Caenorhabditis elegans: one gene and its partners. The protein of the gene in region 3 interacts with the protein of the main gene of each other region in a biochemical or structural test. Each region holds a gene or a part of one and is shown on either strand. Other genes may lie near its edges.

Region 1 (4,905 bases), on a different chromosome or scaffold from region 3:
TCGAAAATTTCAATAAATAAAATAAGCTTCTTGCTTCAAACCTACTATTCGATCAGTAACCTCAGTTTATTTCTCATTTATCAGTTTTACTGTATGTCGGAATGAGATACCGTAACAATTCTCTTTGATGATTTCCCATAAAAATGTCCATCTCATTTTACATTTCGACAATTGGACAACGCCAGCAAACTAATCGCAAATGTTTGACTTTTCCACAGCCGCTTTGACAAAAGGGGTGTGAAAAAGGCGTATTAATTCTGAGATTTTACGAGTTTTCGAATCGAGGCTTGTTTAGATTTACAGTTTTTGAACTAAACGGGCTTATTTTTGTCAAGAAATTCGAACCAATTACCGTATTCAATACGTTCTCCTCTATTATTGTGTGATGCAATGACCTCACTTAACCGACTGTCATGTGCTCATTTGAGCTCAATAGTGAATAGATTCGAAAAGAAAAACAGTTGGCTTAATCGGTACTTGCATATCCTAATTATATGTCATAACCATCTTAGAAATGTATGGAATAAACCTAAAAAAATAGACGATAGACGAGTTGTAAAGAAAGAAAAGAAATATTTCATGTTTTTGAAGTTAAATAAACGAAATACACTTTGAAATTTTAATGAGCGACACCGATCGGTAAGTTGGAAGAAACATCATTGGAAGACAGGGAGTTTGATTGATGCTTTTGTTGCAAATGGTTAAAAACGAGCTATTTTACATTTTGACGGTGAGCTCAATGAATTCAAAAAAATGGAAATTGGATCTAGTCTTAGGGAAAGGTGTGTTCTTGGAAAGAGGGCAGTGAAATTTCGAGATTTCCTTAAAACAAAATTATTGCCATATTCTAGTATATTAACAACAAGAACACGGTTAAAACGTAGGAGGGACAGAGAAAAAGAAGAGGATCAGTGTAACTCTCGAGGACAACACAACAAGAAGGAATATTAGGAAGAGATAGATGTAAAAATGAGGTCCAAATGGATTGATGTAATATCGACTCTCAATTACATGATGGAACAACGATCGGCTGGGTCCGATGGATCCGATGATTCGCTGAATTCAACGGTGATAGAAGAAACAGTGTCTCCTTCACTATCCTCAAGACGAGCTGATGGGTTATCTCCAATTGGCCACTGAAAATTGTAATTACAATGAACATTTTTTGTTTCTTCTATTCATGAAAGTAAGACAGAAATATTTTAAAATAATTGACCAACCTGTTGCTTCTTCATAACGTAGACTTCTGGTGGGTGGTGAACGGCACCAGCATCCGCAGACCAAACGGTGGCGCTAGCATGTGGAGCGAGCTTCATACGAGATGAAAATTGGAAGGAGGCTTCTTTGTTTCCAGCTTTGACCACCAACTTGTATCCTCCGATGGATTGTTCTTCTTCAGAGTTGTTTGCAACACGGACCCACTTTCCTTCCTCATCAACCTCGTCGATTCCAACTGGGCCAACAGTCTCTTTGTTGAGTTTGGAGCGACGGTTGAGATAATCAATGTCTTGGTCCTCTCCATTTACATCGACAACGCGACGACGCTTCACTCCGCGCTGAGCGCTTGCTCCTCCGGATGAAAACGAGACGTGATGAACTGAAGTGTTTTGTGGCGCCTCCTGAGTAAGATTGAGACGCTCCTCCTCACCCTCAAGGAGAGCTTGGTAGGTCTTGAGTTCGGCGTCCAATTGGATTTTAACATCAAGAAGATCGTGGAACTCGCTCATCATGCGCTCGATCTCTTGATTAAGTTCAGCAATTCGAGCATCCTTGTCGTCGAGCTTCTCTTGGAACGATCTCTTCAGAGTGTCGAGCTCTGAACGAAGACGTTCGATGAGCGAAGCATTTCCACTGCTTGATGTCTCCAAGTCACGAACACGGGCACGAAGATGGATTGCTTCGGATACAGCCTCCTCTTGGCGTTCACGAGCAGCATTGAGCTTGTTTTTGTAGGCATCTTCGAAAGCTGTTTTGTTTTGATGCAAATTGTTCTTGAACTGAGCACGCATCTCTTCGATTTGATCTTGAAGCTTAGATTGATACTCATCATTAATCTGCTTGGCGTAGGTTGTCATGTCGACCTGTCTCTTGTGACGAACTTCTTCAAGTTCTCCCTTGTGCTGTTGAAGAGCAAAAGCGAGATCTTCTTCCAGAGCCTTGATTTTATTGTTGGCGGCTGTTCGGAGAAGAGTTTCATCTTCAACGGCTTTCTTGAGTCCTTCTACGGTGTCACGAAGAGTGATGTTCTGCTTTTTGAGATCCTGAAAACAACAAAATTGAACATTTACTTTTGATAAAATTAAAATTTCTTACATCATTCTCCACCACCAATTTATCGTTGCGTGCCTGCAACGTCTTCTGTTTTGCTTGACTTTGATCAGCAATAGATTGGGCATGGAGGGCTTGTTCCTCAGCTCCAGCGAGTTCTCTCTCAAGTTTTTCGACTTGTGGCTTCAACTTCTTTACTTCAACCTTTGCAGCGTCATACTCGATCCTGTATTTTGCGAGCTCATCTTGAGCCGAATCGAGGGCACGACGGAGACGAGCCTGAAAATACAAATAATCTATATTCCAACACTTATCATTCGTCCAAAACGAGAGCTTATATTTGCATTGTTACTTTACCGCGGCGAGAATAATAAGACCACCGCATCAGTTTCCCACAGAACACCTTTGGCGATCAGAATATAAACAAAGTGTACCTTTTCCGCCTCGAAGCGATCGGCCAAGTTTGACTTCTCTTTCTTTTCAACAACTTCGATGTCGCGAATTTGAACCTGGAGTCTGTTGTTCTCTTGCTCCAATTGACGAACTTTCTGAAAAGTGTACTTTCAAATATGAATACTTTCCAAATTAAAACTCACGTCGATGTAAGTGGCAAGACGACTGTTGAGTGAAGTCAAATGATCTTTCTCTTGAAGACGTGAAGTTTCTAGAAGCGTTGAGCCACTGAAAAGCATTTCATCGAGTTTTTTTTTAGATAACACAAGAAATGCGTTTATGAGTGCAGGAACTAGAGAAGCAAAATAAAAACTCACAATGAATCGTCGCCTCCTCCATTGTTGCTTAGCGACGAATTCGCTGAGCGCTCTAGCGTAACAATACGAGAACTACGAGTACCTTTACGAGATGACATTTTTCTCGCTGCTTTCTGAAGAGTTAATTATATTGGATTTAGTTTCAGAAATAGACAAAGAGAGATGTAAGAGAAGAGAGGAAACGTCATAGGCGCCACACGAACGTGACTCAACATTTTGATATTTCTTGTGATAAAATTTTTATACAACAAAAGTTTTCTGTCTCAAAAGAAGTGTGGCAAACATGCGGACACGGCCGTTGTGTATACCACTTCGGAAAGCGTGTGTTTGTCGAAAAATCTGGCGCTGTTAGGTTATTTGCGAGTTACGGCGCGCCAAGTGACCTCAAAATCGGCAGATGGCAGTATTCCACATAGATGTGTGTTGTTTCGTTTTTTAAATGTTTCAACAGAAAGAAATATAGTAGAGAAATAAGGAACATTTGTGAGAGTGACGTAAACAAAAGCATAAACATAGTCAGTAAGTAGCGTTGAATTCAAACATTAGGCAACTCGGCAAAGAACTACAATTGTCAAGGTATACTCAACTAAGATTTACCTCGTTTCAATAGTTTTTTGAAACTCTCGTGAATAAGAATGCTTTAGCAGGGCGTTATCACCTCGCCTTCAAAAATCATCTGCGCACTTCCACAAATTGCCGATAGAACTAGGCAGATGGGACTGAAATGATTAGAGAAAAAGAGAGAAAAGGGAATTTCTCGCATACTTGTTTGGTTTTGATTGACCGTCCATGTCGCGTCAATTTGAAAGTAACAAAATTTCGAAAATTTAGGGAGAATTTCGAAATTCGATCAATCAAAACTTTCGGACTACTACAAAAGAGAAATGACCTGATAAACTATAAGATAGGATATCAAATTACACAAATTAGTGTAAAAAAGTTGCATGAGAGGTGATATGTAGGAGTTTCGAGGGTTCAAAAACGATGAAAAACGCTCGATCTTGTTTCGAAGGGCAATGGCCCAGGCCAATGCTCTCTCTTTAGTCGCGCGAGTGAGCGCTGCGTACCCCTTCATCTCTGATCTCTCCCGTTTCGCGCACTATTTTCAAGTTTTTCTTTCGTTTTTTATGCTCACGGTCCCAATGACTAGAGAAGTAGAGAAGCAGGAAAGACGTGTGCATATGGTAAACAACATACATATACACAACTTGGCAACATGCCAGTACAGGGTTAAATAGAACGAATAATGGAGAGGCATGATGAGAGTATTAGAGAAGTGGTCAAACATCTGAAATTTTGAGGTTTTGCCGCTTTTTTATATGGATAGTGTAAATTTTGAAACTCGGCGATTAACAATAAACATGTACCATTGAAAGACATATTCAGAGCCAGATGAAGGAAGCGAGAAATCATAAGCAGTCTTGTGTGAGAGAAGACAATGTCGTTCTTCTTTGGTGTTTGACACAGAATGAATGAATTCTAGAGAAGGAGGCTGAGAAGAGAAGGAAACAACATCTGGAAAGAGCACTAGAGCGTCGACGCACAGAGACAAAGGGCAATAAATCAATGGGAGAGTGTCATTTTGGCGCGTTGACAGTTTTTATCTCATTTGATGTGACCATGTGGTAGAATATTAGTATAGCACGAAAATTAGAAGCTAAATTTCTATTATGAAGGCGAGATTAGCCGCGAGAGAGAAGTTTGGTGAAATGAAAAGAATACGAAATGAAAGAGTAGGAAAACAATTTTCTCTAGACACCTGCATCTCTAAAACACATTTGATCCCTAAAAAGATTGAAATGAAAAAACAAGAGAATCGATTAAATGTGAGAGGAACTTGGGCAAAACATGTCTCTTGGTAATATGC
Region 2 (3,465 bases), on a different chromosome or scaffold from region 3:
TCTCCGCAGGCAGCAACGACTTGAACCTGAAAATCAAAATTTTCAGATTCAAAAGGTGGATGTCGAAATAATTACCAAGACGCTTCCTTCGTCTTTCTCGAGAGCCTCACGGATAGTGTTTCCCAAGTCTCCTTCTGGCATTTTGAGATCGTCTTTGAGCTCGCAAGATTCTGGATCCATGAGCGAGCAGAACCCGTCTTCGATCGACATGAGCTGAAAATTTGATCAATAACATTTTTTACAGCTGATTAACTCATTTTTCAAAAGATTTGTTTAACCGTCCAAAGTTGATTTTTTTGAAAGCCTTCTTAAAAACTAATTAACAACTTACAATGTACTCGCGTCTCTTGACGACTGGGACGTCCATGTTGTGGGTGGATGGGCAGATATCCTCAAGCTTCTTGGTGGTGAAAATATCGATGGCAACCATGTGAACCTTAGCATGTCCGTGCTTTCCAGTCTTGGAGGTGCTCATCTCGACGATCTAAAAAATTTCTAATTAGGAAAATTCACTGAATTATTTTTTACCTTGCATGGTCTTCCTCGGATCATGACGTGCTCGTTCTTGCGAAGAGCCGAGCATTGCTTCGGGAAAGTAGCAGCAGCTCCGGACTCGGCAGAGTCGAATTGCTCCTCGTCGTGATGATCTTCGGACATACTGCAACAAAGATTTATCAATTATTTTAGCATTTTCAACTAGTTTCCAACGAGAAATTCAAAAAATAAATTTGGAAAAAAAGGTTTGCAGGAAAAAATTGTTTTGATTGAGAAATTTGATGCATTTCTAATAAAATATTGATCTTAGCAAGAAAAACACTGTACAAACCTGAGAAAAGTATAGAAATCGAGAGAAAATCAAATGCGCGAATTTTTTTGAAAGGACGTTGTTTGGCTGCGTATCACAATGAAGAATGAGTCGCTACGCAGCCAAAAATTTGGCGCCAACTTCCATCTTCAGACAGAATCGAAGTCCTCACTTTTTTAGGATTTCAAGGAATCTGCTCTATTTTTTGATTTATCTGAATAAATAATTTCCTAAAAATGCATTCGTTGCTTACTTGCCAAATTTCGCTTTCATCATGTAAAATTAAATAATAAAAATTACCTCTCTATGGTCTTCGGGGCAGCAACTCTCGCCATCCACCCTCCGAAGCCAAGATTACGATTTTTCTTTGAAACTCTGTTTAGTTTTGTTGGAAGCCTCATAAAGTAGAACAAATCAAGTTTATGATTATTTTGAGTAGTTATTTTTATATTTTCCGGCCTGTATTTATTCTCTTTTCTGCACAGTTTTGCGTTAAATTTTATCATATGAATGCAATGTTTCACAACAATCCTTCTCAGCGCGTACTCTCCTTTTCGGAATAAATTGTCATCAAAGGTGCATGCCTTTTCACTAAGCAATGGTCTCGCACCGACTGTCCCCCCTTTTCGGCGGCAGTGGAAATGATTCAAAATTACACGCTTACGCCTTTTCTATCGTTGTATTACAATTGTTCTGACAAAATTCATTTCCAATTTTAGTTATGGATCCTATTCGCGAAGGAGAAGTGGCCCACGAGGGAGATTCGGTTTACACACTCAACGATTTCACGAAGCTCGAAAAAATCGGCGAAGGAACATACGGAGTCGTCTACAAAGGCAAAAACAGAAGAACCAATGCCATGGTTGCTATGAAGAAAATCAGATTGGAAAGTGAAGATGAGGTATTTGAATTTTGTAGCAGTTTCGTTTTTTCAAACAATAATTCTTATAGGGTGTTCCATCAACGGCTGTGCGAGAGATCAGCTTGCTCAAAGAGCTCCAGCATCCGAATGTTGTTGGATTGGAAGCGGTCATTATGCAGGAGAACCGGCTTTTCCTGATCTTCGAATTCCTGTCTTTCGACTTGAAACGATACATGGATCAGTTGGGAAAAGATGAATACCTTCCGCTCGAAACTCTTAAAAGTTACACATTCCAAGTGAGGAAATATTTAAAATCGATGTCTTTACAAGAATAATTGTTCCAGATTCTTCAAGCTATGTGTTTTTGTCATCAGCGTCGTGTTATTCATCGCGATCTTAAGCCACAGAACTTGCTGGTCGACAACAATGGAGCAATCAAGCTTGCCGATTTCGGACTTGCCAGAGCTATTGGTATCCCGATTCGCGTTTACACGCATGAAGTGAGTTTGCATTCATTCTGTACACCAATACAATGATTGTCCGGTTTTCAGGTTGTCACTCTCTGGTATAGAGCTCCAGAAATTCTGATGGGTGCTCAGAGATACTCGATGGGCGTAGACATGTGGTCGATTGGATGCATTTTTGCTGAAATGGCCACGAAGAAGCCACTGTTTCAAGGAGATTCAGAAATTGATGAGCTGTTCCGCATCTTCAGAGTTCTCGGCACACCGACTGAGTTGGAATGGAATGGTGTTGAATCACTTCCGGACTACAAGGCGACGTTCCCAAAATGGCGTGAGAATTTCCTCCGTGACAAGTTCTACGACAAGAAGACTGGAAAGCACCTTTTGGACGATACTGCATTCTCTCTTCTTGAAGTAAGATTTCTAAAATAGTACTTTAACAAGTAAAATAATATTTTCAGGGTTTGCTGATCTACGATCCATCACTTCGTCTCAACGCGAAAAAAGCTCTCGTTCATCCTTATTTTGACAACATGGATACGTCAAAGCTGCCAGCTGGAAATTACCGAGGAGAACTCGAACTCTTTTGATGTAATTCATTCATCATCATTTTTATTATTTATTCTCCCGTGCTTTAACCACCTATCGTCTTCCGTGTATTGTTTAACTATCACCATTTCAACTTTTTACCTGTACGATGATTATTTGGCCCTTCGATATTCATGAGTAATCTCTTTTTTCACACCGCGATAAATAAATTCGCTCTACTTTCATGCTCTTTTTTATTCAAGCACTTTGTTCAACGTGTAAATGAGAATAGGGAATTAAGAATTCATTATTATTATTTTTCCATTCTGAAGAATGATCGCTGCAGTGATTCCAATATTCGTAATTTCTCTGTCTAACATTTCGCACGTAAGCTAAGGTAACGAAAACTAATCTAACTGGAGCTATTAAGATTATTCTTGCAATTTTCTTCTTCCCATCGATTGTAGAATTCCTCGATGATCTTTACTGGGGATTCACTTATCGTTCGTGGTCTCCAATTGCACGTCAATTAGAATTGGGACCGGTAGGATATATCCCTATATATAGGATTAAATACAATTTAGAGAATAAATCAAAATAATTGTGTTTAGAACATTTACATTCATCACTCGAAGGTTTCTATTTTGATGGACAAAGCTGATCTTTATGAGAAGAATCAGTCTAGGAAAGATATTTTAAACTATTACCGGGAAGGTATTGTTTAATATTTATTCATTCTCTCGAATATCTGAAATTTCAGAAGACAAGGATTTTGAGCAGTATTTGAATTTTAGAGAAAATCGAAA
Region 3 (4,372 bases):
GTCTAAAATCTATTTTCAAATTATAATATTGGTGAAACCTGAATTCAAAACTTTTTTCATCTTTTAAAATTTTGCAAATATCATTTCTAAACTCCAATATGTTTTAGATTGAACTTTGTTAAAATTTTGGTAAATTACCACAACTTCAGCTTTTCAAAAAATAATTCGAAAAATTTCGCTGGTATTCAGTTTTGAACCAGTTGAGCTTGAAAAAACACTAGCTGAAATGAAATAGTTGTCGCAGATTAAATGTTTAACTTGTAAGGTAGCTGGTAACATTCCACCAGAAGATAAGGATGGGCTCTATTATTTTATTATCACCTTGTTTGTTATGTCCACATTTGCATCAACTATTTTGACTGGAGTTTTCTTGGCTCTTTCTGTGATCCTTTGGAGCCATTTCAAAAAAGTAATGAAACACGTTTTACATAACTTTTTCCAAGGAATTTATTGAAAAAATTCAGATGATATTTTTCTGGTTTTTAACTCAACTGACCATTTCTGTTTTCATAATGTCTTCTTTAAACTTTTTAATTAATGTACCAGCGACATTATTTGCTTTGATAACCAAGGAATTCGTTCAATCCGGTAACTTTTTTTGAATCAATTTTGAATCATTTTTTTTGTTCAGCCTCATTCTACTACATGTCCAATGTAATCGATTTCTGTCATAATGCAATACTTTTCTCAAACTTGATAATTGCAATACATCGGATGTTTGTGTTCTTTTTCAAAAAACACACGGATATTGCTTTTGAAAAGTAGGGAATTCTGAAATTTTTGGAATTTTAATCTACTAATCCCAGACCGATAACATACTTTTGGATGGGAATGGTATGGGTATTGTCTGCTTTTGTTGTAGTGTCTATGATTATGAATAACTGCCAATATGAATATGATGAACGAATTTTAATGAAACATTATGTTTTGAGTTGTGAAACTAGTAGTGGAATTAAAAATATTGCTCCACCGACAATTGTACAAACTGTAAGCACAATAATGAAAATATCCAGTCCAATAAACACTTTCAGATTGAAATTTTAATACAATTTATTCTTCCAATATTTATTCTGGGAATATATATTGCAATTATCATTAAAATAATTTTAATGAAAAAAGCAGCACTCAACAAATACGAGCTCACTATTTTGAAACAGGCGGTTTTTATATTTTGCCTATTTCAGGTCCTGTTTGATTTAAGAACGAAAAAATGAAAAAAAAAATTTCCAGATTTCATCGTCGGTTTTCCTATTATGCCAAACTATCAAGTTTGAAATAGCAACTGCATTTTTGATAAAACGGATTATTAATACGGTTCGTTTTTTTTTTAATTTTTCCATAGCAATCTTGAAAAATTATCCGTATTGCAGACTGAAATATGCGCTGGAGCTGCAACGCCGTGCTTCTTCTTTTTCACTTCAAAAGAAATTCGGAAACTCGTTTCTGTGAGAGTTTCTCTCACTACTTCACAAGCCAATTCAAACTCACAGCAGAGAAGGCAAACTTCGAGAGCGATTTAATTTTTATTACTAAAATCAGTTTCTAAAATGTTTTTGCCAATATTAGAATAAATACTCGTGTTTTAATGAGAACAAACTCTTCGCAAAAAATTTCTGTGCCTGCCAAATCATATTTACTGCTACAGTAACTTTCAAAGGTGCAATACGTCAGCGGTGAGGGTCTCGACGCGATCTTGAGAATTGCCGCAATCAGTGCGGGGCTGCTTGAATTCGAGGTTTCGATTTTCTGGTTTTTTTTTTCATTTTTCGAATTCAGTTCGGATATTTTTTGTTTTAAGACAAATATAAAGCATTTAAAAAGTTTATGCTTTGTAAAGTGCAGTTAAACTTCAATTAATTCATAATTATTTTAATTGAAACAACTTTCTCGCTCTTGAAAATATTGCATTGTTTCTTAATTTCCAAATTACAATTCCGCACAGGCTTTTTTCATTCAATTTCTTTCTAAACTTCCAGATCTACTCGGTATGGCGTTGCGACACACCATCTCACCGCAGTTTTCGAATCGCCACAGTCCTCCAGTTACCCGTTCTGTATCTCGAACAGGAGTTCATCAGCCGCTAGACACATCTACTCCAGTTACTCGGCGAGATTCCCAACCTGGAACGATTACAGGCACCATTCAGAGATTTCATGAGTCGGCTGACGATTCTGAAATTGATCTGAACTCTTCGAAATTTATTTACAAGGAGCATTTTAGCTACAAAGAAATCACTTCGATGAAGAAGGAAATGTGGTATGACTGGCTGGAATATCGCATTCGCATGGTTCGGCGTCGTTTTGTTCCAACGTGGGCCCAGTTTAAACGTACTCTTATGGCTGTTGTTCTTTTTGCTATGTTATACAAGTGTGAGTCGGGAAAACGTGTTGTGGGTATCTAAATGAATAATTTCAGATGCTCGTGATTGTTTATTCGATGGAACGCATCATAATTCAGAAGGATCCTACGCGGATAAAGACGCGAATTGGGCGTCCGAAAAACAGAAATTTCATCAGACGGTACAATGAATGAACAGTCAGAATAAATTTTTATATTATTTAGATTTCCAATCTCCGAGCAGAGTTTTCGGCGCACGATAAACAACTCGATTTCAAAACTGACCATTTGGAAAAACTACTGGAAAACGTTTTGGAACACAGCAAAGGATGGAAAGAGTCGGCAATCGAAGAGCTCAAACAGATCAAATTATGGCAAGCAGAAATTAGCGATGCTTTGCAACAAATGAAAAAGGAAATCGATGATGCGGTAATTTTCAAATTTAATATATTTTCCCAATGCTAATTTTTCAGAAAAGCACAAAGATCATCCACAGTACACCAGAAAAGGCTCCAGAGACCGCACCAACTGCATCGCTTCCTCCCTCTAGCCAGCTTCAACCAATGCACATAACACGCCGAGCACTTCTTGGAGTGAATGTTGCCAACAGTCTTATTGGTGCATCAATCGATCATTCTTGTTCATCACGTCCAGTTTCTGCAAAAGATGGATTTTTCTACGATTTCATGTCATACTTCGGAACGTTCCAGGAGGGATATGCTTTGCTTGATCGCGACGTTCTATCCCCAGGAGAAGCGTGGTGCACATACGATAAACGTGCGACCTTGACCGTGAAGCTCGCTAGATTTGTCATACCGAAAAGTGTCTCGTATCAACATGTCAGATGGAGCGGGATTGTTCCAAATCATGCCCCGAAGCTCTACGATGTCGTGGTAAGCTATATAAAAATTGTGTTCAGTAACTAATTATATATTTTCAGGCATGCACGGACTCATGTTGCACCAAATGGCAGCCTCTTGTCGCCAACTGTGAATATAAGGAACGTGATGGAAGTTATGACGAGCAAGAACAATTCTGTTCGGTGCCAACAATTCAAAATCACTCACCGATCAATCACGTGCAATTCCGTTTCCGCGAAAATCATGGAGATATGCCAAAGACATGTGCTTATTTGATTCGTGTTTACGGGGAACCAGTCGATCCACCAAAGGAAACGCAACCAATGACGGATAATGGAACTGAATCAAAGTTGGAATCTGCAATTGTTAACTCTGTATCAGAAACCGCATAGAAACGCCGTATTATTGTTCCTGCCCAACTTGTTTTTATATCATTTTCACGTTCCCCACTGACTATGAATCTCAATATTGCTTCTTTGAAATCGTTTGCAAATGTTTTGTCCCGCTTTACTATCCACGTTACCGTTTGTATTTCATTGCTTTATTCATTTTTTATTAATGTGTCATGTTCTGTTTATTTCTTGAAAGTTCTAATCTAAAGTTTCAAAGTTTTAAATTGTGTTCTGAATTTTAAGCACGAGAGCAGCAGGGAAGTGGTGATTACAAGAGAAAACTTCGCATCTGCTAACTAGGGAATGGTGTTACCCCTGCAATCGCTAGGAGGACAAAACAAACTTTAAATGACAGATGAGGTCTTTGGCTACAAAAATCATTTTTTGGAATCTGCTTAACTCTGCCCCAAAGCTGAAATTTTCGGCCTTAAAAAGTAGTCCTCTTTTTGCTCAAAGTGCCGTTTTCGTTTTTTTGAATTTTTCCTCTAGCATGAAATATGCACAAAAACACGGTTTCTTTCGTTTTTTGGTAACTTCGGAATAAATTTTTTGGTTCCTGGGAATCATAAAAGTAATTTGGAAACTTTTTGGAAGTTTTCTTTTTTTGATAAATTTTCACTTTTTTCCCACCTGATATATGCACATTTTTTTTCTTCAAAAATAATTTTTCAAAATTTTTTCAAAAAGTGTTTGGTTTGAAAGAGCAGCATTAGTTTGGATATTTCTACGATTTTGGAGGATCAAATGTCATTTTTAGGAGAAAACCACTGTTGTTTTCTCTAG

What was found. Proteins that work in one complex are often made in the same cells at the same time.
Region 1: the proteins of sun-1 (region 3) and lmn-1 form a complex in vitro, tested with the Caenorhabditis elegans proteins (one study listed by BioGRID).
Region 2: of the proteins of sun-1 (region 3) and cdk-1, one has a biochemical effect on the other in vitro, tested with the Caenorhabditis elegans proteins (one study listed by BioGRID).

Annotation. Positions count from the first base shown.
Region 1 is NC_003279.8:8,761,287-8,766,191, reverse strand, and holds lmn-1 (Lamin-1), read right to left. Parts: upstream 3,152-4,905; 5' UTR 3,137-3,151; coding exon 3,039-3,136; intron 2,950-3,038; coding exon 2,865-2,949; intron 2,817-2,864; coding exon 2,703-2,816; intron 2,548-2,702; coding exon 2,314-2,547; intron 2,262-2,313; coding exon 1,221-2,261; intron 1,137-1,220; coding exon 1,008-1,136; 3' UTR 561-1,007; downstream 1-560. UniProt on the Caenorhabditis elegans protein: Major component of the nuclear lamina, a fibrous layer on the nucleoplasmic side of the inner nuclear membrane. Provides a framework for the nuclear envelope and probably also interacts with chromatin.
Region 2 is NC_003281.10:9,745,948-9,749,412, forward strand, and holds cdk-1 (Cyclin-dependent kinase 1), read left to right. Parts: upstream 1-1,524; 5' UTR 1,525-1,526; coding exon 1,527-1,706; intron 1,707-1,756; coding exon 1,757-1,963; intron 1,964-2,011; coding exon 2,012-2,167; intron 2,168-2,218; coding exon 2,219-2,545; intron 2,546-2,592; coding exon 2,593-2,721; 3' UTR 2,722-2,905; downstream 2,906-3,465. Other genes in the region: iff-1 (Eukaryotic translation initiation factor 5A-1), read right to left, coding at 1-26, 76-213, 332-484, 529-658, 1,106-1,206; T05G5.4 (uncharacterized protein), read left to right, coding at 2,993-3,046, 3,090-3,203, 3,271-3,373, 3,420-3,465. UniProt on the Caenorhabditis elegans protein: Plays a key role in the control of the eukaryotic cell cycle. Required for entry into S-phase and mitosis. Acts as a component of the kinase complex that phosphorylates the repetitive C-terminus of RNA polymerase II.
Region 3 is NC_003283.11:13,191,143-13,195,514, reverse strand, and holds sun-1 (Sun domain-containing protein 1), read left to right. Parts: upstream 1-1,976; 5' UTR 1,977-1,987; coding exon 1,988-2,369; intron 2,370-2,415; coding exon 2,416-2,519; intron 2,520-2,562; coding exon 2,563-2,766; intron 2,767-2,810; coding exon 2,811-3,230; intron 3,231-3,277; coding exon 3,278-3,589; 3' UTR 3,590-3,813; downstream 3,814-4,372. Other genes in the region: F57B1.1 (G-protein coupled receptors family 1 profile domain-containing protein), read left to right, coding at 266-409, 465-588, 632-761, 807-987, 1,032-1,184, 1,231-1,314, 1,371-1,520. UniProt on the Caenorhabditis elegans protein: Involved in centrosome attachment to the nucleus. Required for zyg-12 localization to the nuclear envelope. Together with pot-1, it is required to anchor telomeres to the nuclear envelope in embryos.